Linked DNA regions of Rattus norvegicus. Each later gene encodes a partner of the first gene's protein in a complex. Links are inferred from orthologs where the notes say so. Each region holds a gene or a part of one and is shown in the gene's direction. Other genes may lie near its edges. The genes, in order: Taf3, Taf6, Taf10 and Taf4.

The links.
Region 2: Taf3 (region 1) and Taf6 share a complex: the UniProt entries of both Homo sapiens proteins name them as parts of the TFIID basal transcription factor complex. The link is inferred for Rattus norvegicus from reciprocal best matches to the Homo sapiens genes TAF3 and TAF6.
Region 3: Taf3 (region 1) and Taf10 share a complex: the UniProt entries of both Homo sapiens proteins name them as parts of the TFIID basal transcription factor complex. The link is inferred for Rattus norvegicus from reciprocal best matches to the Homo sapiens genes TAF3 and TAF10.
Region 4: Taf3 (region 1) and Taf4 share a complex: the UniProt entries of both Homo sapiens proteins name them as parts of the TFIID basal transcription factor complex. The link is inferred for Rattus norvegicus from reciprocal best matches to the Homo sapiens genes TAF3 and TAF4.

Annotation. Positions count from the first base shown.
Region 1 is NC_086035.1:73,511,106-73,515,942, forward strand, and holds part of Taf3 (transcription initiation factor TFIID subunit 3), read left to right. Parts: intron 1-661; coding exon 662-911; intron 912-3,722; coding exon 3,723-3,829; intron 3,830-4,837. UniProt on the Homo sapiens protein: The TFIID basal transcription factor complex plays a major role in the initiation of RNA polymerase II (Pol II)-dependent transcription.
Region 2 is NC_086030.1:22,174,287-22,179,810, reverse strand, and holds the start of Taf6 (transcription initiation factor TFIID subunit 6), read left to right. Parts: upstream 1-1,872; 5' UTR 1,873-1,908; exon of another isoform or gene 1,909-2,015; intron 2,016-4,467; 5' UTR 4,468-4,527; coding exon 4,528-4,683; intron 4,684-5,069; coding exon 5,070-5,156; intron 5,157-5,254; coding exon 5,255-5,408; intron 5,409-5,524. Other genes in the region: Cnpy4 (protein canopy homolog 4), read right to left, coding at 1,339-1,474. UniProt on the Homo sapiens protein: The TFIID basal transcription factor complex plays a major role in the initiation of RNA polymerase II (Pol II)-dependent transcription.
Region 3 is NC_086019.1:169,506,080-169,510,669, reverse strand, and holds Taf10 (transcription initiation factor TFIID subunit 10), read left to right. Parts: upstream 1-2,461; 5' UTR 2,462-2,476; coding exon 2,477-2,708; intron 2,709-2,813; coding exon 2,814-2,968; intron 2,969-3,132; coding exon 3,133-3,197; intron 3,198-3,280; coding exon 3,281-3,395; coding exon of another isoform or gene 3,396-3,401; exon of another isoform or gene 3,402-3,404; intron 3,405-3,560; coding exon 3,561-3,650; 3' UTR 3,651-3,730; downstream 3,731-4,590. Other genes in the region: Tpp1 (tripeptidyl-peptidase 1 precursor), read left to right, coding at 1-91; Ilk (integrin-linked protein kinase), read right to left, coding at 3,962-4,111, 4,286-4,416, 4,529-4,590. UniProt on the Homo sapiens protein: The TFIID basal transcription factor complex plays a major role in the initiation of RNA polymerase II (Pol II)-dependent transcription.
Region 4 is NC_086021.1:187,457,319-187,462,861, reverse strand, and holds the start of Taf4 (transcription initiation factor TFIID subunit 4), read left to right. Parts: upstream 1-1,819; 5' UTR 1,820-1,876; coding exon 1,877-3,104; intron 3,105-5,543. UniProt on the Homo sapiens protein: The TFIID basal transcription factor complex plays a major role in the initiation of RNA polymerase II (Pol II)-dependent transcription.

The DNA of each region.
Region 1 (4,837 bases):
GCATATCTTTTAGGGCTTCATGACTTCTGGGGAGGAAGGGATTCCTTTGAAGCCAGTAAGACTCCAGGCCAACGGCTCAAGAGAAACCACTCACAAGGAACGCCACAGCACTTCTCACATTTCCTCTCAGAAGTCAGTCAGTTGACACATCTGAAGTCGTGAGGGAGGAGTGTGTAACCAAGTTATGGAAAAACACAATCCTTCTATTATGTATCTGTGAAAAACATACACGTGGGTATTGATTGTTAGAATGTCTCTACGTGTGTGATCACTGAGAAAGTTAGCCTAAGTTTCAACAGTGATAATGGGATAGGCCTTGAATTCTGAGCTCTTTAACTGTTTCTGGACACTTTAAAGCATATTTTTCAAGACTGGGGATATAACTCAGCTCTTAGAGTGGTTGCCATTCATGCATGAGACACTGCAAAATAAAATTAATAAACATGGATGGCAGTATGGCTCTGCAGGTAAGTGTGACAACTTGAGTTTGATCTCTAGAACTCATGTGGTGGAAGGAAGCGTCTCCCAGCACATCGTCTTCTGACTGTCTCACAACATAAATAAATGCCGTGCAAATCTACTTTGCTTCCAGACAAAGGTCTTTGTAGGAATTGTTAAATCTATGGTACATTTTGACCTTGGCTTTTTTTCTCCTTGACAGTGTCATCAGCAAGGTGGTGCCAGCCCCGGAGGCTAAGCCCGCTCCTTCTCTGAACAGACCTAAAACCCCGCCTCCGGCCCCTGTCCCTATTCCTGTACGAGTGAGCCCTACTCCATTGCCGCCACCACTCCTCGCCCAGGCTGCGGTGTGCCCTGCCCTGATGCCATCCCCAGCCCCTGCCCTCTCTGCAGCAGGGAGCGCCAAAGCCCCAGTGCGGAGCGTCGTGACCGAGACAGTCAGCACTTACGTGGTACGTGTGTCTCCACAGCGTTTAAGGGGGGGCTGCTTCTGCAGTGCTGGCCCTCACAGCAGTGCTTGATAAATGGAGAAGCATTACCATTGCCTTTTCAAGCTCTTGGCTCAAAACCACATAGATGATGTTCAGCTACATAAATGAGGCCAACCTGCATTTGTGTTGATTTGAATCATGTCTATACCTGAATATAAGAACACCAGTGTACAACTGTGATATTCAAATACCTCAGTGGATTCCTACTAGAGTGAGTAAATTACTGACGTCAATATAATTTATGTATTAGACATAGATCTTATGGGCTGGCTATTATTTCTCAATGGTAGCACTATTCATTATATTTTATTTGCTGAGATCCAGAATATATAGGAACTTACATCTTAACTAGAAAGAACCTTTAGACCATAAGAATTTCTGAGCATTCAAGTGCTTTTTTTATTCTTAGACCTAGCTCGGTGGTAGAGAGTGTGCCTAGCACGTACAGGGCCCTGAGTTTAACCCCTCGTGCTGAAAGTGAGTAGCAAACGCTTCTCATCACATCGAATGGCCCTGCGTTCTCCTGAGAGTGCCCTTGGCTGTTCCCACACTTAATTGTGTGGGGTCTGATTCCAACACCAAATTCAATCCAGTAATGAAGTATTTTATAAAGATATGTTCTCAGGGCACAGTGAAGACACACACAAGCACACTAAGTATTTGTAAATGGAGATATTGATGCCTTTGAATGACAAGCTCCGCAGGCTGTTGACTTAGCCTAGCCCTTGAAGAGATGAATGATTGAGAAGTATCTATATAGCATGTTACATGGGGGAGTTTGGAAAAAAAATAAACCATTATATATGTGAGACAGTATAAGGACACAAGTATAAAAAAATCCTGAATGCATTCACAGAGTAGATAGACAGGAAAAGTTAACTTAAAATTAGTAAATTGGCAATGTGATAGAAAAACCTGTGAGGATCGATTGGTCCACTCCTCTCCACCGAGGAGTATAATTGAGGCATCACCCCCAGGTGAGCTGACCAGGAAGGAGTTTATACTTAATCTCCTCAGCCTCCATTTGTTTATCTGTAATTAAGGGATTTGTATTAGACTCGGTAATCTCTGTACTCTTGTCTGGCTCTGAAGATTGTGGCTTTCCAGTAGATATCGGAACTGACTTCACAGATGTGAAAGCACCTGGAACAGCGCTCGAATGTCTCCTAGTCTAACTAGACACTTTATAGATGGAGGACACACAGGACGATTCTCTCACTGCCTACTACTGTACCATTGACAGTGAGATTCCTGTAGGCCCTGTTTCCCCATTTTTAAACTATCCAAAGATGTGTTTTAAAAGAACTCAGTACCCAAGAAAATACTGTGTATTACTGTGGTGCTACAGCAATTTTTTTTTTTTAATGTATCTCAAAGTCACAGCCTGCTAATGTCAAGTAAGGGCAGCCAGCAGCGAGACCAGCCATGCATGGTGGGTTCGCCCACTGAGCACCCAGTGCCTGGTGACTACTGGTGCAGTTGTCCCCACGTTAAAGCTGGCAGTCAGAGCAGCTTTCTCCACGTTCCTCTAGACAGGCTTCAGATGAGTGTAGATTGCTTTATAGAGATTTTTGAAATAGTAACCCTTGAATGAGTCCATGCATACAACAGAACATATCCACTCTTGATTCCCCCTCATAAGGAACCCTGGCCTTTCACACATGTAGTCAGTGTAGCACTTGAAGGCATAGGAAGAGGACACCTTACTCTGTGGCCATCTAAAGTAGACTTGCCTCAGTGCTCCTTTGCACCCATGCAGAATTGGCTTCGATATTGTGACATTTAGAAAGCCATCCAGTTAGGAACACTCCCTACTGAGAATGAAGCCGGAACCCTGGAACCTGCGGTATTTGGAGCATAATGATAATTAAGTGTGCAGTTCTTTGGCCCATGAGCCTCTGCTTCCCTTTGCCCTCTAGTGGATTGTGCTTTTCTAAGATGCCATGCAGGGAATGGAAAGTTACTCAGTAACAGCTCTTTTACATCCTTGATCTTATCACCTAGTTCAGGAGAAGGCTTGGCTAATGAGTAATGAGGGAATGCATGCGCGCTCGACTGTGTGTGCTAACCCCATGCTATGAGCGTGGCTGAGAAAATAGGGAAACCGAGAGCTTTCAGAACTATCCGTTGTGTGGCCGATAGGCCAGATTCACGAGGGGTTCGGGAGATGAGAGGAGTTCTTAGGAGAAGCTGTCTGCCAGTCGTGACAGTTTCAGAGACGACTCTGCAATGCTTTGTTTTAATGATTTACAGAGCAGTTTAGAATGTGCATCAGAAACATGTCGTTCTATCCAGGCACAGCAGCACATACCAGAAACCCCGGCACTCATGAAGTGAGGCCAAGATTGTAGTTCAAAACCAGCCTGGACCATAAGTGGCTGCCATGCCTGCCTAAGCTTATAGAACCTACCTCCAAAATAATAATAATAATAACAATGCAGGATGGGGTAGAGAGAGGGAAGAGTAGGGAGAAATGCAAGAGGGAGAGAGATAGTGAGGAGAGAGTGTGGGGGGAAGAAAGTGTGTGTGTGTGTGTGTGTGTGTGTGTGTGTGTGTGTGTGTGTGTGTGTGTAGGGGGACTATTGTTCACTAAGTAGCTGTTTTCCTCTGTGTGGTTCCAGAGCGGGGGTGACTGATGGTGACACACAGACAGTGCTGGTCTGTACGCCTAGCTTGTTGGTTTAGTGTGCACAGCATAAAGCAGCATTCTTATCTGGCCTCTTCTGCTTCTTTCCCCACACCATTTCTTCGGGCTCTGCACCTTACCACCAGATCCGTGATGAGTGGGGCAATCAGATCTGGATCTGTCCAGGTTGCAACAAGCCAGATGACGGCAGCCCAATGATTGGCTGTGACGACTGTGACGATTGGTACCACTGGTGAGTGCCCCCAGATCCCCAGAGTGCTAGACCGCAAGACGGCCAGCCGAGCCTGAGCATCTCAGAGCGACTCAGGACAGGGTCAGTAACTGCACTGTTGGTCGTGCTGTTGTTCCTGAGCCTGACTGTGGATGTCCTGCTTCAGTTCTGTACCCTTTCCTACAGGAATAGTAACTCCCCTCTCCTCCCTGCCCCTGGCATTGGGCTGCATAGTGAAGTTGAGGTCAACCTGGGCTACCTGAGACTCTTTCCCACCCTCAGCCTCTCCCCCCAAGTGAAACATACAAGCAAAGCCATTGCATTATACTCTTCCTGATGGAAAGAACAAATAAACTAATTAGTCTCACTATACAGAAGGCGCTATATAATATAGCCCAAATACCCAGCGTAAGTGCTACAGTGTTTGGGCAGATTTCTGGTGTATACATCATTTTTGGCATTTATTTTCATTGCGGGATTGGAGCGTGCTGTATTGGTTTGCACACCATTTCGTTCCCTGTTTCTGAGCACAGCACGTGGCTCAGAGACCGCGTGCTGTTGGGCATCATGGCCAGTGTCTTCATCTGTTGAGCCACCATGCCTTAAAGATTCATTTTAAAGCACCAGAAGAGAAGGGATTGGTTTACCTCAGTTGGTAGAGTGCTTCCTTAGCATGCAGGAGGAGAAGCCTTAGGTTCCATCCCCATAGCTGCAAAAGCTGACTGTAGGGTGCACACATCCCAGCTTAGGTAGTAAAGGCAGGAAGATCAGGAGTTCAAGGTCATCCTGGGCTACGTAAGGAGTTCAGAGCTAGCCTTGACCGTACCAGGAAGAAGTGACCCCTTTGAAAACATGGCACAAGGGCTGAAGAGATGTCCCCATGGTAAGAGCACTGTCTGCTGCTGCTTCTGGGAGCTCGCAGTGGGCTGCAACTCCACTTACAGGATCAGACACACTCTTCTGTCCTCAGGCAGCACCAGGTACACAAAAAATACACAGCCAAAACACCCGTACATATGACACACAATA
Region 2 (5,524 bases), on another chromosome or scaffold:
CAGTCACTCTTAGGAATGGAGGAAAAAGCCTAAGTGTATATACAAGACATTTACAGCTCCCCCAAACCCCAAGTTGGCTTAGGGTCTGGGGAAACAGTTCAGTAAGTAAAGTACTTTTAACTTGAGGACCTGAGTTCAGATCCTAAGCACCTATACAATGTTAGGCGATGTGGCATGTGTTATCCCAGCATTTTGAGATCAGAACTAGAGACAGGAGGTGTCTATGGATAACTTTCAGGGGAACAAGAGAACCTCTCTCAAGCAAAAGGTAGATGTTTCTTCTGAAGGAATGACACCTGAGGTTGTCCTCTGACCTCCATAAGGTCTTTGTCTGAACACAGAGGTGCAAAAGCAACAGTGCCAAGGTTAGGCCTGTGTTTAGAAAGGTTAAGAGGTCCCAGGAGATGCCAAGGCGGCACAGGCCTTTAATCCCTGCACTCGGGAGGCGGAGGCAGGTGGATCTCTGAGTTTGAGGCCAGTCTGGACTACAGATCAAGTTCCAGGACAGCCGGAGTTACACAGAGAAACCCTGTCTTAACGTGTCCCCCCCACCCCCCCCAAAGACACAGATGCAAAAAAAAAAAAATGAGAGATTAGAATAAAGTCATGGGTAACAATGACAATAATGTTGTTGGGTGTAAAGTGAAACGATAATAAATCCAAAGAAAAAGTTAATGTCAGGGAGCCACAGGATATTTTATTCAGTGACCTGGCTTCCTCCCTGTTGGGAGTAGAGTGGGGAGGGGGGCATTTACTGATGCAGCCAGGGGCTGTGCTGCTTGTTGTAAAATCCCTACAGTGCAACCCATCTGCAAAGTCTCACACTGATGGGCAACTTCTAAGTGGTATGATGGTGTCTCCATCTTTTGTTTATGAGCTTCAGCTGGGGACTTACTCACCTTTAAACCCCTGAAGGGGGTCATCAGGCCTGTAATTTGCGAGCGTCTCTGCCAGGGCGGGGCACAGTACGTCTATAAGGTATGAACCTTACACCCCACCCATGCAAGTTGTCTAGATTTTTAACAAGTAGGGAAACGCACTGAGAAAGATGCTCGGTAGAGCCAGCGTTACAGGTTCGTGAACTACAATTCCCACAATCCATTCAAGCCCAAGCCCGCAAGAAAAACCTAGCTCCTTCTGGATGCCACCTGGGAAATGTAGTGCCACCGTAACACTGCTCTCCTTCCCTCGTTCCCATTCAAGTGTTACCAAGCTCCAACAGAACCTCTTTCAAGACAGTTGAGTGACCCATCTATCCTAGTCCATTTGATTCAGCCTAGAGTTAAAGGCAGGAGCTAGGATAAGGAGATGCAAATAGCAACTGCTCCATTTCTGTACCTTCGCATTTGCTGGGCAAACGTTCTGTATCAGCTTCTTCTTCTTTTGTCATTCCAGTCCAAGCACCGTACGCTGCCAGGATGAAAAGCAGTATTTCCAACCGCACAGGTCCCATGACAAAACGCAGTTCACACATACACACAACCACCTCTTGCCTTCAGACTAACTTCTGAAAGGGAGCGGGCCCTTTAAACTTAGGCGCAGCCGGCAGCAAGCCTTTAAAAAAAAAAAAAACTTACAGGGGACGGTCAGCGCATGCCCAAAGTTAGCCCGAAAGTGGGTGGAGCCTAATGGCTCCAGGCTTCCCGGCCTTACTTTTGTGGCGCCTCCTGAAGGTCCTGGCAGCTGGGTAGTGAAGATACAAATTGAAGAAATTAGAATAGAGTAATGTGATCTTTACATATACACGTAGAATTTAATTTTTAAATAATTCCAGACTGTGAAACGATATGGTCTATTTTGACATAGGGAAGAGCAGTGATAAGTTCTTGGCTTCTGCCAGGACCTACTACTGCCAGGGGGCGGGGCCAAGATGGCGCCGAGCGCCGGGTGAGCGGCGCCTTGGCAGCGGTGAGAAGCTTTTACTGCTCCCGGTGCTTGGCTGGCGGGGGAAGGTCTGAGGTGTACCCGGGAGGAGACCCTTTGAAAGGGCCCATGTGAGGACTGGGAAGAAGACGGTTGGTTGTGTGTCCGTGCTAGTGGGGACCCTGTGCATGATTGCACTGGAAGGATGTTGGGGAGATGTAGTAGATTGTGAACCTCCTGTAGCGCTGCCCGGGGAATCTTCGAATCACTTCCCTGCTGAGGAAAATGATGCACAGATATAGCTCAAGTTATCCGTCCTCTGAGAAGTCTTCCTGTCGTTTCCACTGATCTGAGAAATTCCGGAGGGTGTTAGTGTTTTATGAACCCTTAGTGGCAGGGGACTGGGACCCAACTGCCTCTTGTATACTTGGCACCAGGTTCAGAGTATGTGCTGAATAGTTGTATTTCCTGTAGACAAGATTTAACAAAAGTCTGAGAAAAATTGGGATGGAAAGAACCAGGGTCTTTGGCCTCCACCCCCAACCCCCACCCTGGCACACACACACAAACACACACCCCTTTTCCCCAGCACTCAGCTCTGAACACTCCTGAGGTTGACCTCATGTCCAGTGTCAGGCAAGCTCCTTTCCATTTGACCACAGAGTAAACTCCAAGCTTGGGTCTGTGTCTTTTTCATTTTGGTAATTGTTATACCAAGTATTTAGTGAACACTTACACCTTTAGGACTTAAAATTCATATATTTAATAATGTCCTAGGTACTAGTCAATCTAGGCACCAGATTGGTCAGCGGACATAACAGACATAATCCTGTCTACTGGTGGGGTAAGAATAATAAACAAGAAAAATAATAGCTTGGCGGTAAACAGCTGTAAAAGGCAGGAGGATCTCCAAATCAAGGCCACAGAATGAGTTCCAGACAAGCCTGAGACCCAATTGTAGAAGGGTTGCTTAACATGTGGAAAGCTTAGATTTAATCTAGAGTGATTATATAGAATACATATATATAATATATATCATTTATTATTAGAAGAAATTTTGGCAAACAAGTAAAGCCAGGCATGGTGGTATGTGCTTATAATCCCAGCACTTGGGAGGTGGAGGCCAAAGGACCAGGAGTTAAGACCAGTGTTGTCTACATAGTGAATTTGAAACCAGTCTGGGCTGGGGGCCACCTGCCCCTAAAGAGAGGTGGATGGGGTCAGATAAGGTAGTCAGCCAAACACATTTAGGAAGAACACAACAAAAGTTATAAAGCCAAGTACACTACATACCTGTCAGATTTAAAGGACAGCAAGAAGAATGATGTGTGACAGGTTAAATGGGAAAAGGAGGGATAGGTGATCAGACGTATGAAGGAAAAGAAAGGAAAAGGAAAAACCACTTAGGCAAGACTCAAACTTGCTGTCTGTGCACTTTAGCCTCCAGAGTGCTGGGGTTACAAGTGTACAGATGTAGGGTCTCACTCTGAAGCATGACCTGGTATAAAACTCAAGGCAGTCCACTGAAATCAGAAGGGTTGACCCGCAGAACTGGACAAGAGACAGATCTTGAAGGGAAGGCCTTGGGAGGGTTTTATGTCAAAAGGGGAACCATTATAGGAAAGAAATAGTTATCTGCTTTATATTTTGACACTTAAAACCACTTTGGTTTTAAGGAACAAATGCAAAAAAAAAAAAAAAAAAAAAAGTAAGATAGAAATAGGAACACCTTGTCCAGCAACTGAGTTCAGCAGATAGGCCAAAAAGGGTCTGGTTGGACTGCCTGGTAGGTTTTAATACCATGCTGGGAATCAACCCCAGGTCCATATACATGCTATATCTTCCAGCCCTTACTTGATGGATTTGTTTCAAGCGTCCAGATAAGAATGAGTTGTGCTGGATGTGGTGACACATGCCTATAGTCCCAGCACTTGGGAAGTAGCAGGACCAGGAGTTCAGGGACATTTTCAGCACATATGGAGTAAGAGACCAGCCCGGACTACAAGAGGCCCGAGAGAGAGAGAGACAGAGACAGAGAGAGACAGAGAGAGAACAGGCCTTTAATCCCATCATCCAGGAGGCGGAGGCAGGTGGATCTCTGAATGTGAGACCAGCCTGGTCTATAGAGCAAGTTCCAGGTCAGCTGGGGTTACACAGCCTCAGGGTAGAAGGGTAGGGGACAAACTGGGTCTGGAGATGTAGCTCAGTTTTTAAAGTATTTCCCAGCACCACAAAACTGTCGGGGTACGTCTATAATCCTAGAATTAGGAAGGTAGCAAAAGAATCCAGAGTCAAGACTTACCTTTTATTACATAGTTTAGGGCATGGCTAAAGAAACCTATCCACAAAAGTAAGAGCAAACAAACAAAAAAATTGTCACTGGGCATGTTACTACATGCCTATAATCCTAGTACTTGAAAGGCAGAAGCTGGGGGCTGGAATTAGAAGTGTTATGGCTCCATAGTGAGCCCCTGTGTCTAAAAGAAAAAAGACAGAGCAAGCCGTTTGGTAGCTTTGCTTTGACGGTGAGCTGTAAGTAAGGAGAGAACGCAGATGGAGGCTTTGAACTGTTTTCCTTTTTGTCTTGCCACATCCCACTCTTAGGATCTCCATCTCTCCACCCTGGGGTGACATCCTTCCAGGGACAGGAGCTGGAACTCCAGCATGGCTGAGGAGAAGAAACTGAAACTCAGCAATACCGTGTTGCCCTCCGAGTCTATGAAGGTGGTGGCAGAATCCATGGGCATTGCTCAGATTCAGGAGGAGACTTGCCAGCTACTGACAGATGAGGTCAGCTACCGCATCAAGGAGATTGCCCAGGTAAGCCTTCTGCCCAGCTTTGCTTTGTGCTAACAATTCAACCTACTATGTAACTAAGGATAACCTTGAACTTCTGACCCTCTTGTGCCCACCTCCACTGCTGGGATTGAGGGTCTAACACCATGTCTTGTCATGTGATGCTTGGGATTGAACTCAGGCTCCTGTGCCTGCTAGGCACATGCTTTACTCAGTGAGCCATATTCCTCAGGGTCTTAGATACATATCTCTTCTCAGAGGGGCCCTGGCGGGGCAGGCCTTCAATCCCAGCACTTGGAGTTTGAGGCCAGCCTGGTTTACATAGTGAGTTCCAGGAAAGCCAGGGCTACACAGAGGAAGACCCTGTCTCGGAAAACAAAAGCAAAATCTCTTTCCTTCTCACCCCCTAGGATGCTTTGAAGTTCATGCACATGGGGAAACGACAGAAGCTCACTACCAGTGACATTGACTATGCATTGAAATTAAAGAATGTGGAGGTGATTTGGAGGGGCTTAAAGAAGACAGGCGGCTTTAGAGTGGGGCCATGCCTCCCTTGAGCTGTTTCTCATGCCTTTCTCTGTCTCTTCTGGTATAGCCACTATATGGCTTCCATGCTCAGGAGTTCATCCCTTTCCGGTTTGCCTCTGGTGGGGGCCGGGAGCTGTACTTCTATGAAGAGAAGGAAGTGGACCTGAGTGATATCATCAACACCCCTCTGCCTCGGGTGCCTCTGGATGTCTGCCTCAAAGGTGGAGACGGGGTAGAGCTGGGTGCCCAGGGAGGAGGGGAAGGAAGCATGAGACTGGGAGGAACTTGACAAGAGAAGAAACACCAGTGTGTGAATGGCAAGAAGGGGACCAGGAAG
Region 3 (4,590 bases), on another chromosome or scaffold:
GGGTTTCTGCTCTGGTCCTGGCTGGGATCCTGTGACAGGTTGGGGAACACCCAACTTCCCAGCCCTACTGAAGACTCTACTCAACCCTTGACCCTTCCCTGCCCTGACGAGAAAGCAGAACTGTTTCCTGTACTACAAGGGAAGGCTCAGTTTCTCGTTATTCCTCAATGGAAGCCCTGATGAACTCTTAACTGTTGCCTGCTGCAGATAGCTTCTCCCTAACCCTCAAATGCTGTGAGCAGGACTGGACTCCCAACCCTGTGAGCCATCAAACTCAGGTCTCCAAACTTCTACTTCGAGATCCCCAACAAGATGCTATAACCAGCATTTTGTCTCACCCCAACCCCATCTCTCCTTCCTCTTTCCAGCTTGAGATGTGAAAGCAGGGCGAGAAGATTCAGTCTGCATTACTGACACCAGCAGTCCCACCTAATGCTTACCACCTCTGCACTGACCGTATGCTCTTTCTCTTCCAGCTGCTTCTTCGTTCACTGAAATGAGACCTTTGTGCTAATCGTTTAGTCTTTCTTCCCCTGGCACTGAAGTGCAATGGTCTCCCTGACATTCTATCCAGTTATACACTTCTCAGTGTTTTATGGGCTTTCTTGTTTAAGAACAGGTTGGTGATGGGTTGGGGATTTAGCTCAGTGGTAGAGCGCTTGCCTAGGAAGCGCAAGGCCCTGGGTTCGGTCCCCAGCTCCGAAAAAAAGAACCAAAAAAAAAAAAAAGAACAGGTTGGTGACAATCTATATAACTATTCTAAGGAAAGTTCAAGTTTGAAAATTTTAAATGTTTTAAATGTTCTTATTGGCAAAGCTCCTCAACAAAATAAATAGGTGTTACAAATTTTGCTTTAAATTTTTGCTTCAGTGATTTTTTTTTTTGTAAATTATTTGTAAATTTACATTTTATTTTCCCCTTCTTGGCTACACCAAAGCAGCATTCAGGTTTTAATTTCAACTGTCAGACATTCACAAACATCTAGCTTCTGTGAACCTGGGTGTTCGTTCTTTCCGTCAGTTTCCCATTCCTTTTTTGCTCAGTGTATACCCCCTTTGACCACACTAACTGTCCTCCTTTTCAACTAATTATGGGATGCTGGTGTTCATTGTTCCATCCGTAGGTTTTTACTCATATTTTATTAACATCCCTTGATAGATCACTGACATCTCAAATGTAAGATACCTCATTACTTCATCTCCCTCCAGCCCAGACCTAAACTATTTCATCTCTTAGTCTGTGATATAATGCCTCTTTCAAACAAGCCAGAAACCTGTAACTCTTAATTTTCATTTTTTTTCACCTCCCTACTAACTTCAACAAGTTTTACTGACTACTTCTCCAGATATGTCTTTATCAGCTAGCGTGGTGATGCTCACCTTTAATCCCAGCACTTAGGAGGCAGAGACCAGGCAAGCCTCTCTGAGTCCATCCTGGTCTATACAAAGAGTTCCAGGCATGCCAGGCCTACGTGAGACCATGTCTCGAAAATACACAAACGTGCGTGCACGCGCGCGCGCGCGCGCGCGCACGCACACACACACACACACACACACACACACACACACACTACTGCATTATCTTTGAGCCCATGTCCTTTTTCCTCTAAACTGCAGGAAGTACTTGGGTAGGGGAGAGCCTTCCAAAGCCCCTCAGCATCCTTGACCATGGGTAAGTCATCTTCTAAACCAAACAGTATATTTATTTGTGCAAACCCTTCAAAGATTACTGGGTAAAAGTCAGGGACATTGAAACCTGCCTTCAAAATTGGGAAATAAACATTGCTAATGTCTGACACTTGGAATTAAGCAGCTGATGTTAGTTCCCTACTTCCTTGCACTCCACCTACGTGTATCTGGGAAACAACCATACAGTATTAAAATTGTCTGCCTTCCTTTTCCAGAGCTTGGTGCTAGTGAACTAGAATCTGATTCTTAACTTTGTATTCCTAGGTCCCAACCCTGTAGTTGGCAAATAGAAATTAAATAAATGACTGTTGAATTGCTAATGTGCTTCACATGTGACTTTGGCATGTTATTTCTTCGGGGTGAAACACCTATCTCTACATTTACAGCAGCACGCTTCTAGGACCGTTGTGGGTGGGAGGGACACACACCAAATCCACTAAAATCCTTAAAGACAGTGAAAGGGAGCGACAAAGAATGAAGACTGTTAAGGAGACTGGTAATGAAGTATCTGACATATGAGTCCCCAAGTCAAATCTGCGCACCCAGATGAAATGAAGTGTGCAGTCCTGGATTCTTCGCGGTCCCATCTGGGCAGGGTTGAGCCGCAGGGTGGAGGCTAGGTCTTTCACAGTTTACCTCTGCCAGTCTACACCTAATCTGCCAACAGCCAACCTAAGGTCGCCCGCGGCGGACTAAAGCGGTGGGGCGGGAACTGTGACGTCACGCAACGTGCGCCTGGGCGAGCGGAAGCGGAAGTAGCTCTGGTTGCCGCCTTTCCCACCAGCCCCATGAGCTGCAGCGGCTCCGGCGCGGACCCCGAGGCGGCGCCAGCCTGTGCCGCCTCGGTCGCGGGTCCGGCGCCCCCGGTGTCCGCTCCCGCTGCGCTGCCCACTAGCACGGCCGCGGAGAGCAAAGCCAGCCCCGCGGGGACAGCAGGGGGCCCTGGAGCTGGAGTCGCCACTGCAGGCACGGGCCCCGTGGCGGCACGGGCAGGGGAGCCCGCGGAGCGGCGCGGACCGGGTGAGCTCCGGGCCGGGTGAGGGAGGGGGGAATCTCCGACTGGGTGCCGCAGCGGGGGTTGGGGGGACCCTGCGCTTCTCACCTGTGTTGTTGATTCTCCTTCAGCTTCGGTGGCAGCAGGCGGCGCGGCTCCCCCTGAGGGGGCAATGTCTAACGGGGTTTACGCCCTACCGAGCGCGGCCAACGGAGAAGTGAAGCCCGTAGTGTCCAGCACACCACTAGTGGACTTCTTGATGCAGTTGGAGGATTATACACCTACGGTGGGCTTCCCGCCTGTACAAGGCCACCTGCCTCGCTGTCGTGCCTTTCAACCGCACCTTCATGCTTTCAAGCGTCCTCTACTAGGAAGCTGTCTCTTTATTCTTCCTCCCCACCCAGCGCATCAGTAGGCAGAGCTAATAATGACGGCTATTTGATTTTTCAGATCCCGGATGCAGTGACTGGTTACTACCTGAACCGTGCTGGCTTTGAAGCTTCAGACCCACGCATGTGAGTAAACTCAGAGGTTAGACTGTTGAGTGCTGGGTGGAGTTTGTTAAATATCTCATTACCACCACCCCCTTCCTCTCTAGAATTCGGCTCATCTCACTAGCTGCCCAGAAATTCATCTCAGATATTGCCAATGATGCCCTACAGCACTGCAAAATGAAGGGTACAGCCTCTGGCAGCTCCCGGAGCAAGAGCAAGGTGTGAGAGGTTCGCCTTCCACAGCAGTACAGACTTAACTTATCCTGAAAGCCTTTTGGGGAAGCAGCATCCTAGGGGAGGTATTGGGCCTACTCAGGGTTACCCACAAAGGACTGGAATCTGGACTTGCTGTGCTCAGCTGGTGGTCTTCCCTCTTTCCCCCAGGATCGCAAGTACACCCTAACCATGGAGGACTTGACCCCTGCCCTCAGCGAGTATGGCATCAATGTGAAGAAGCCGCACTACTTCACCTGAGCCACCCAACCCAGATGTATTTGTCTTCCCCTCTGTCCCCACATGAGCCTGTTTTCATAATAAACTTTATTGTGACAGGCGGGGCTGATCCCTCCCATGTTGGGAGACATCAAGTGGCAAGTGACAAAGCTCTGAGCCCAGCCCTCTCTGGGGCTACAGTGGTAGGGATGGGAGCAGGGAACAAGCCCCATAACTGGGGTAGTACCATGATTAGAGACAGGGGAGGCAACCAGAGATCTTCAGCTTCGGGGAAGTGCATTCCCCCAGCCATATGCTGATACTTCTGAAGTTTGGGCAGGGACCTTCAAGTCCTACTTGTCCTGCATCTTCTCCAAGATAGGTACAATCATGTCAAACTTGGGTCGCTTTGCAGGGTCTTCATTCATGCAAATCTTCATGAGCTTACACACGTGGGGGGAAATACCTGGTGGGATAGTAGGCCGAAGGCCTTCCAGTGCCACCTGCAAATTATACAGAACAAGGTGAGCTTCTGAATTTGAGTTCATCATATGGGCAAAAGCCTTTGACCCTTGAATGGTAGGATTACTATAGATCTGTATACACTGCAGGAAGGGCTTACCACAGTGATGTCAGCACCACTATCCCCACACAAGTATCTGCAGTTCTGTGCTCACCTTCATTCCAATCTCCATATTAGAAAGGTCAGCAAAGGGCACCTCTCGTGTCACCAGTTCCCACAGAAGCACGGCAAAACTCCACATGTCTGCTGAGCGTCTGTTTGTATCTTCAGGCTTCTTTTGCAGGGCTGGAAGGGATAAGGCTTATTAACTATTCCAGTTGCATAGCCTTTTTAGTCTCTGCCTCTTCTACTGTTACTGAGCTAATTCTTCATTTCCCAACATGATGCCTTTACCTACCTTCAGGGGCCACCCAGGCAGGTGCATACATGCGCCCAGGGCACTGGAAAGAAAACTTTACA
Region 4 (5,543 bases), on another chromosome or scaffold:
GTTCTCATGAAAGATCTTAGTACCATGGCAGCAAGGGACATGCAGGGTAGGGGTATGGCACTGGGAATCAACAGTCACCCGAGGGCCTGTGAGCTTCAGAGTCTGGGCTTTGCTATAGGTGTTCACTGTTTTGCTTCCTGTCACCTAAGGGTTTTGGGGTACAGGCTGTTGTACACCTAACTGGTGGTTCCCATTAACCAGCATCAAGTGGATGACTAAGAACCCGCTGAGTGTTTGGTCCATTTTAAAATCTTCAAACCATCAAGAGTGAAAAATTCCGATTTGGGTTTGGAGGGTTGTCACTAAGTGGTGCCCTACTTGCTTAGGATGCTCTTGGCCCCAAGTGTGTTCTCCTGTGTCAGAAGAAGACGCTTGGGTTTTATTCACAACTGTGAATTTCTGTTCCTGGTGTCAATCCTACACTGGCTTGTAGCACCCTACCTGCTTTCTCATTGTCTCCTCCTTTTTACTGGCTTTCCAAACCTGGAGGCTGATGTTCAAGAACAAAATTTCTGTTGTCTAAGGGTTCCCTAGCACACTTTGCAAGTGAGGGCACTGTGTTTTGTTTTGTTTTGTTTTTTTGGGGGTGGGTGGGGGTGGGGGTTTCAACGTGTACAGTTCCTTAGATAGACTATTGCTTAGAGAACAGCTGGGGTAGGGTGGGGTTTGTTGTATAGCAGTTATAACTCACTTAGTTTAAAAGGCTGGGACAGGATCAGCACACAGGCTGAGAGTTAGAGAGCAGCCTGCTTTAGAGAGGAAGAGTCCTCACCTCACCTTTTTGATATAAGTGTCTCATGAGACCCCAAGCTGGCCTCCAACTAAATATATAACCAAGGTTGAACTCCTTATTAATCTGCCTTCACTTTCCAAGTGCTGGGATGGTGTGTATAGGTAGTACGGGCTGGTAGGAAACGCCTCTTTCAAGGCACGAAAGAAAAAAAAATTACAATGTCACATTCCTCATTCCCCAGTGCTGGATCTGTGCGGACTGTGGCAAGTCTCTTCAGAAGTGACGATGATTCTGGGAGGGTCAGTTGCAGTGAGGTCCCAACAAGGAGCTTTGCCATCTGGAATTTGTTTTTGGGGCCTTTTCAAAAAATGGAAAGACGAAATCATAGCAACGTTCAATAAGACGGCCTTTTGGTTAAGAAAACACCCAGGAAGAAAGGGGCGAAATGGTAACGAAAACGTTCCCACAAAGTGCTTGCAAGCATCAGTTTAGAGGATTTACTACCCCCTCCCCCACGAGAAAAGTAAATAAAGAACAAATCAGCTTCCGGATGTCCAGCTTCGGTGTGCACGGCCCTCTTACTAACCGCTGTAAGTCAGAGGAGCTGACCCGTGGCGTCCGTGGCGTCCTCTGCGCACCTCTCCGCCCCGAAAGCGTTTTCTTGCCAGGACTCCTGCTCCTCACTGACCGCCGGGGCCCCGGGAGCGCCCGCGCAGCTGTCGCCGCCCGCCCTGGCCGCAGCCATTTTGGAAGGGTGCAGACAAAGGGCGAACCCCGCAGCCGGCTGCAGCGACCCACCCGGCACCGAGCGCCGCCGCTCTCCCCGCCCGGCTGCCATTCCCACCAGCGCTCTAACAGCCGACCAGCACCCAACACCTCGCCTGCTCCCCGGCCTCTGGCGCTCGCAGCCATTGGCCGCGTCTTTTAAGAGCCGGCCGCAGCCAATCAGAGGCCACAGAGGCGCGGGCGGGGGCGGTGCGTGTCGGAGCGCCTGCGCACTAGGCCGCCCCTCCCCCCTCCCTGCGCGCCGCGCCCCCGCCCGCCCCGCGCACCGCCCCCCGCCCGCCCCGCGCCCCGCTGGAACCTCCTCCTGCCCAGGCGCGCTCGGCCGAGCGGCGGCGGCGGCGGCGGCGAGGAGGAAAGATGGCGGCGGGCTCGGATCTGCTGGACGAGGTCTTCTTCAACAGCGAGGTGGACGAGAAAGTGGTGAGCGATCTGGTGGGCTCGCTCGAGTCGCAGCTGGCGGCCAGCGCGGCCCACCACCACCACCTCGCGCCGCGCACGCCCGAGCTGCGGGCCGCGGCCGCCGGCGCGCTCGGGAACCATGTTGTGAGCGGCAGCCCGGCCGGAGCCGCGGGCGCAGGGCCGGCCGCCTCCGCCGAGGGCGCGCCCGCAGCGGCGCCGGAGCCGCCCCCCGCAGGTAGAGCGCGGCCGGCGGGTGGGGGCCCGCGGCGCCCGGGCTCCAGCTCACCGCGCCGCTTGCTTGTCCCCGCAGGGCCCGCGCCGGCGCCCGCCAAGCTGAGGCCGCCGCCCGAGGCCAGCGCGGGGCCCTGCCCCGTCGCCGCCGCCGCCGCCACCGCTGCCGCCGCCGCGGGGCCGGATCCCGCCGCCGCCGCCCCGCCCGCCGGCCCCGGCGCCTCCAAGCCCGGCCCGCCTGGCCCGCCCGGCCCCGGCGCCGCGCAAACTTTGAATGGGAGCGCCGCGCCGCCCACCGCGCCGCACGCCGCACCTGCTGTCAGCCCGGTCAACAACGGGCCCGCGCCGCCGCCCGCCGCCGGCTCTGTCATCCAGGCGGCCCCCGCGCCCGCCGCGCCCTCGCCGCCCGCCGCGCCCGCGCCCGCCGCGCCCCCGCCTCCCGCGCCTCCAGCGCCCGTCGCGCCAGCCCGGCCGCCCGGGCACCCCGCCGCGCCCGCGCCCCCCGTGTCACCCGCTGCCGCCGCCGCCGCCGCCGCCGCCGCCGCGCAGAACGGGGCCGCTCCTGCCCCCGCCGCGGCCTCCGGGGGCGCCGCGGGGTTGGGCCAGCCGGGCGCGGGCGCGCAGGGGGCTAAGGCCGAGGCGCCCAAGCCCGGACCGGGGCCCGGGCCGGGGCCGGCGGCGGCGGCGGCGGCGGCGGCGGGGGGGGTCGCGGGCGGGGGCGCGGCGGGCGGTGTGCTGCTCGGGCCCGCCATGCCGGGCGCGCTGCCGGGGCCTGCTCCCGGGACCCCCGCGGGGCTGGCGAAGGGCGCGGCCGCAGCGACCCCCAGCCTGCCTCGGACGCCGGCGGCCACCACCGGCGCTATCCGGGCCACGCTGACGCCCACCGTGTTGGCCCCGCGCCTGCCGCAGCCGCCGCAGAACCCGACCAACATCCAGAACTTCCAGCTGCCCCCAGGTGAGTGGCAGCGCGCGGCGGGAGGCGAGGGCGGGTGCACCAGGCGGCCCTGGCGTTCCAGGAAGTTCTGGGCTGCATTCTGGGGCTGTGTCCTGGCAGGGTGGCACGCGAAGCCGAGGGGCGGCCTCTGCCCAGGTGACCTGACAGTTTTGAGGGCTTCCCAGTCCTGGAGCTCCAGAGCCCTCAGGGAACTCTGGTGTCCCGTTGGGGTGCTATGGGCTACCACTGTGTGGTCGAGGGGCCCTTCTTTCTCCTTCCTCAGGTGAGGTCAAGAGAGGGCGAACTAACTCAGGGGCAGGATGGTGAAGTCTGTGTGGAAGGCGTGGGCTTCCCTGTTGTCAGGGAAGCTGGTTAGGGACTCCATGCAGGGAGCAGGGGTTTAGTGGTCATCGGTGCCTGAAAGAGGACCCTGAGTGTTTTTGTTTTGCCATCCCTGGAGGTCAGCAGGACACTCACTGCGCAGGGGTCTGCGGATGCAGGAGATCATGGAGATGTGGATGCTGGGGCTCAGAAGCTGTCTCAGAGCTTGCAGATTCCATGTAGGCTCTGACTCTGTTGTCCTCGAATTCCTCAGGGCCCTTGGGTTTGATGAGTGACTCCTTTCCCCGCTTGTAGACTGCTTTTGTTTGAGAGTCCTCTGCAGAAGTGTTCCCACTGAACCCTGGGCCGGAGCGAGCACTGAGCGCTCCGCTCCTCCCGTGTTACACAGTGACATGTGCAAGCAGTAGTAGCAGCGCCGCCCGCCCACCGCGGTGGCAGTAGTAGAGAATTAGAAAACATGCTGCTACTGTGTCCCCCTGCTTTCTGAAAAGTGGTTTGGGTCACGTTGAAAGAGCTAAAGCATCTTTAGAATTCAGTTTTGCTGAGGTCAGTGAGGACCAGGAAGGCTCCGAAAAGGTTCAGAGATACTTGCCCTATCTATGGGGATACAGGACCCAGAATAGTTAGTGAGGTTGCAGGGGCTGCCATGCTCTGAGGAGGCGCTGGGTGTGACATAAGGCCTAGGAGCTGCAGATGTCTCTTGCCACACATCTGGGGCAGGGTGTGTGTGTGTGTGTGTGTGTGTGTGTGTGTGTGTGTGCGCGTGCGTGTGTGTGATTGAAAGGTCTTGTTCATTATCTTCACTCTGACCTTTGGGTGGAAAATATGGCTGATGTTATAGTTTAAGATTCATTCTGTGCTTGTAGTCTATTATTCGAATAGACTCCCCAGTGCAAGGATGTGCCCATGTTGTCCTTTTATCAGGAAAGCTGTCGTAGTCAGGTGCCATGACATCCTTCCATAGCGTCTTGACTTTCCCTGGTTCCATTGCCTTTGAGTGCCGTACAAGTAAAGTCCATCTCCCCGGGAGAAATGACAATGCCATTTGCAAAGGGCATTGGCTGCCGTCTCCATCACAACTGCCTCCTTTTTCAGGTCAGGTTCAGGGTTGGTGTTTGAGCAGAAGGTAACTCCTTGGGGAAAAAGTAAATAGGTCCATCATTCGCACTTCTCTACGTCTGCATCAGCCCCATGCTTGTGTCCAAGAGTAGGGCAGAGTCTGTTGCCTTCTGGGTGGCAGACACCCAGCGCTCTGCTTCAGAGTGGGCACATGCTTTCTAAGGAGAAGGCCCATCCATACCCACCTTCCTAACCGTCTGGCTCCTGTGGCTGTTTTGATAAGGAACGCTGATTGAGGGAGAACCTTACTTTAAAAACACCCAAAGCTAAGCTAATGTTTGGTGCTTAAAACTACTACCACCAGTGCTGGAAAGCCAACTTCTTTTTAAAACAGGACAGGGAGACATGGTTAGAGGACGCAAACATACTAGGTCTTCCCTGTATCTGAGCAATCAGGACTTTCTCTAACTGGTGTTCCTCCTCTACTGATACATTTCATAATGAGATATATTCAGAAAAGGAGAAAACAGTTTCTAATAGAACTTTGTTTAGCCAATAGCAGCCTTTGCAGGGTAAGGCTGAGAGAGGGGAGGCAGGTTTCAAGGCTACACATAGGTGTCAAGTGGACTAGCATACCATTGGCAGAGGAGGGGAGTGTGAAAGGGGCTGAGTCCCTCCCAGTGCCCTCTCGATAGAGGTCATGCTGGGGGAGGGGAGGAACACAGGTCTTGAGGACTTTGACAGTTCATAGGAACGTCTAATATCATGTTGAACTTGTTTTCTTTAGCAAGCGGAGCCCTGATCTTCCCTGTCAGGACAGGTGTGTAAAGGCACAGGGCTGCTACTGTGCCTGTGATTTGCTGCTGGTTTGCTGGTGCCAGAGTCTAAGTTTGATCCACAGCTTTAGAGAGGGCTGGATGGCAGGTGCACATGTCAGGAGGAGTCCACAGTGTGACTGACTACAGTTGCTGAAGGGCAGGTGAGAGGACCTCAGAATTAGTGTGTGCTTTTGTGGCTTTGAAAGATCTGGGTGGAGGATGTTGTCCTGCCTGTCCCCCC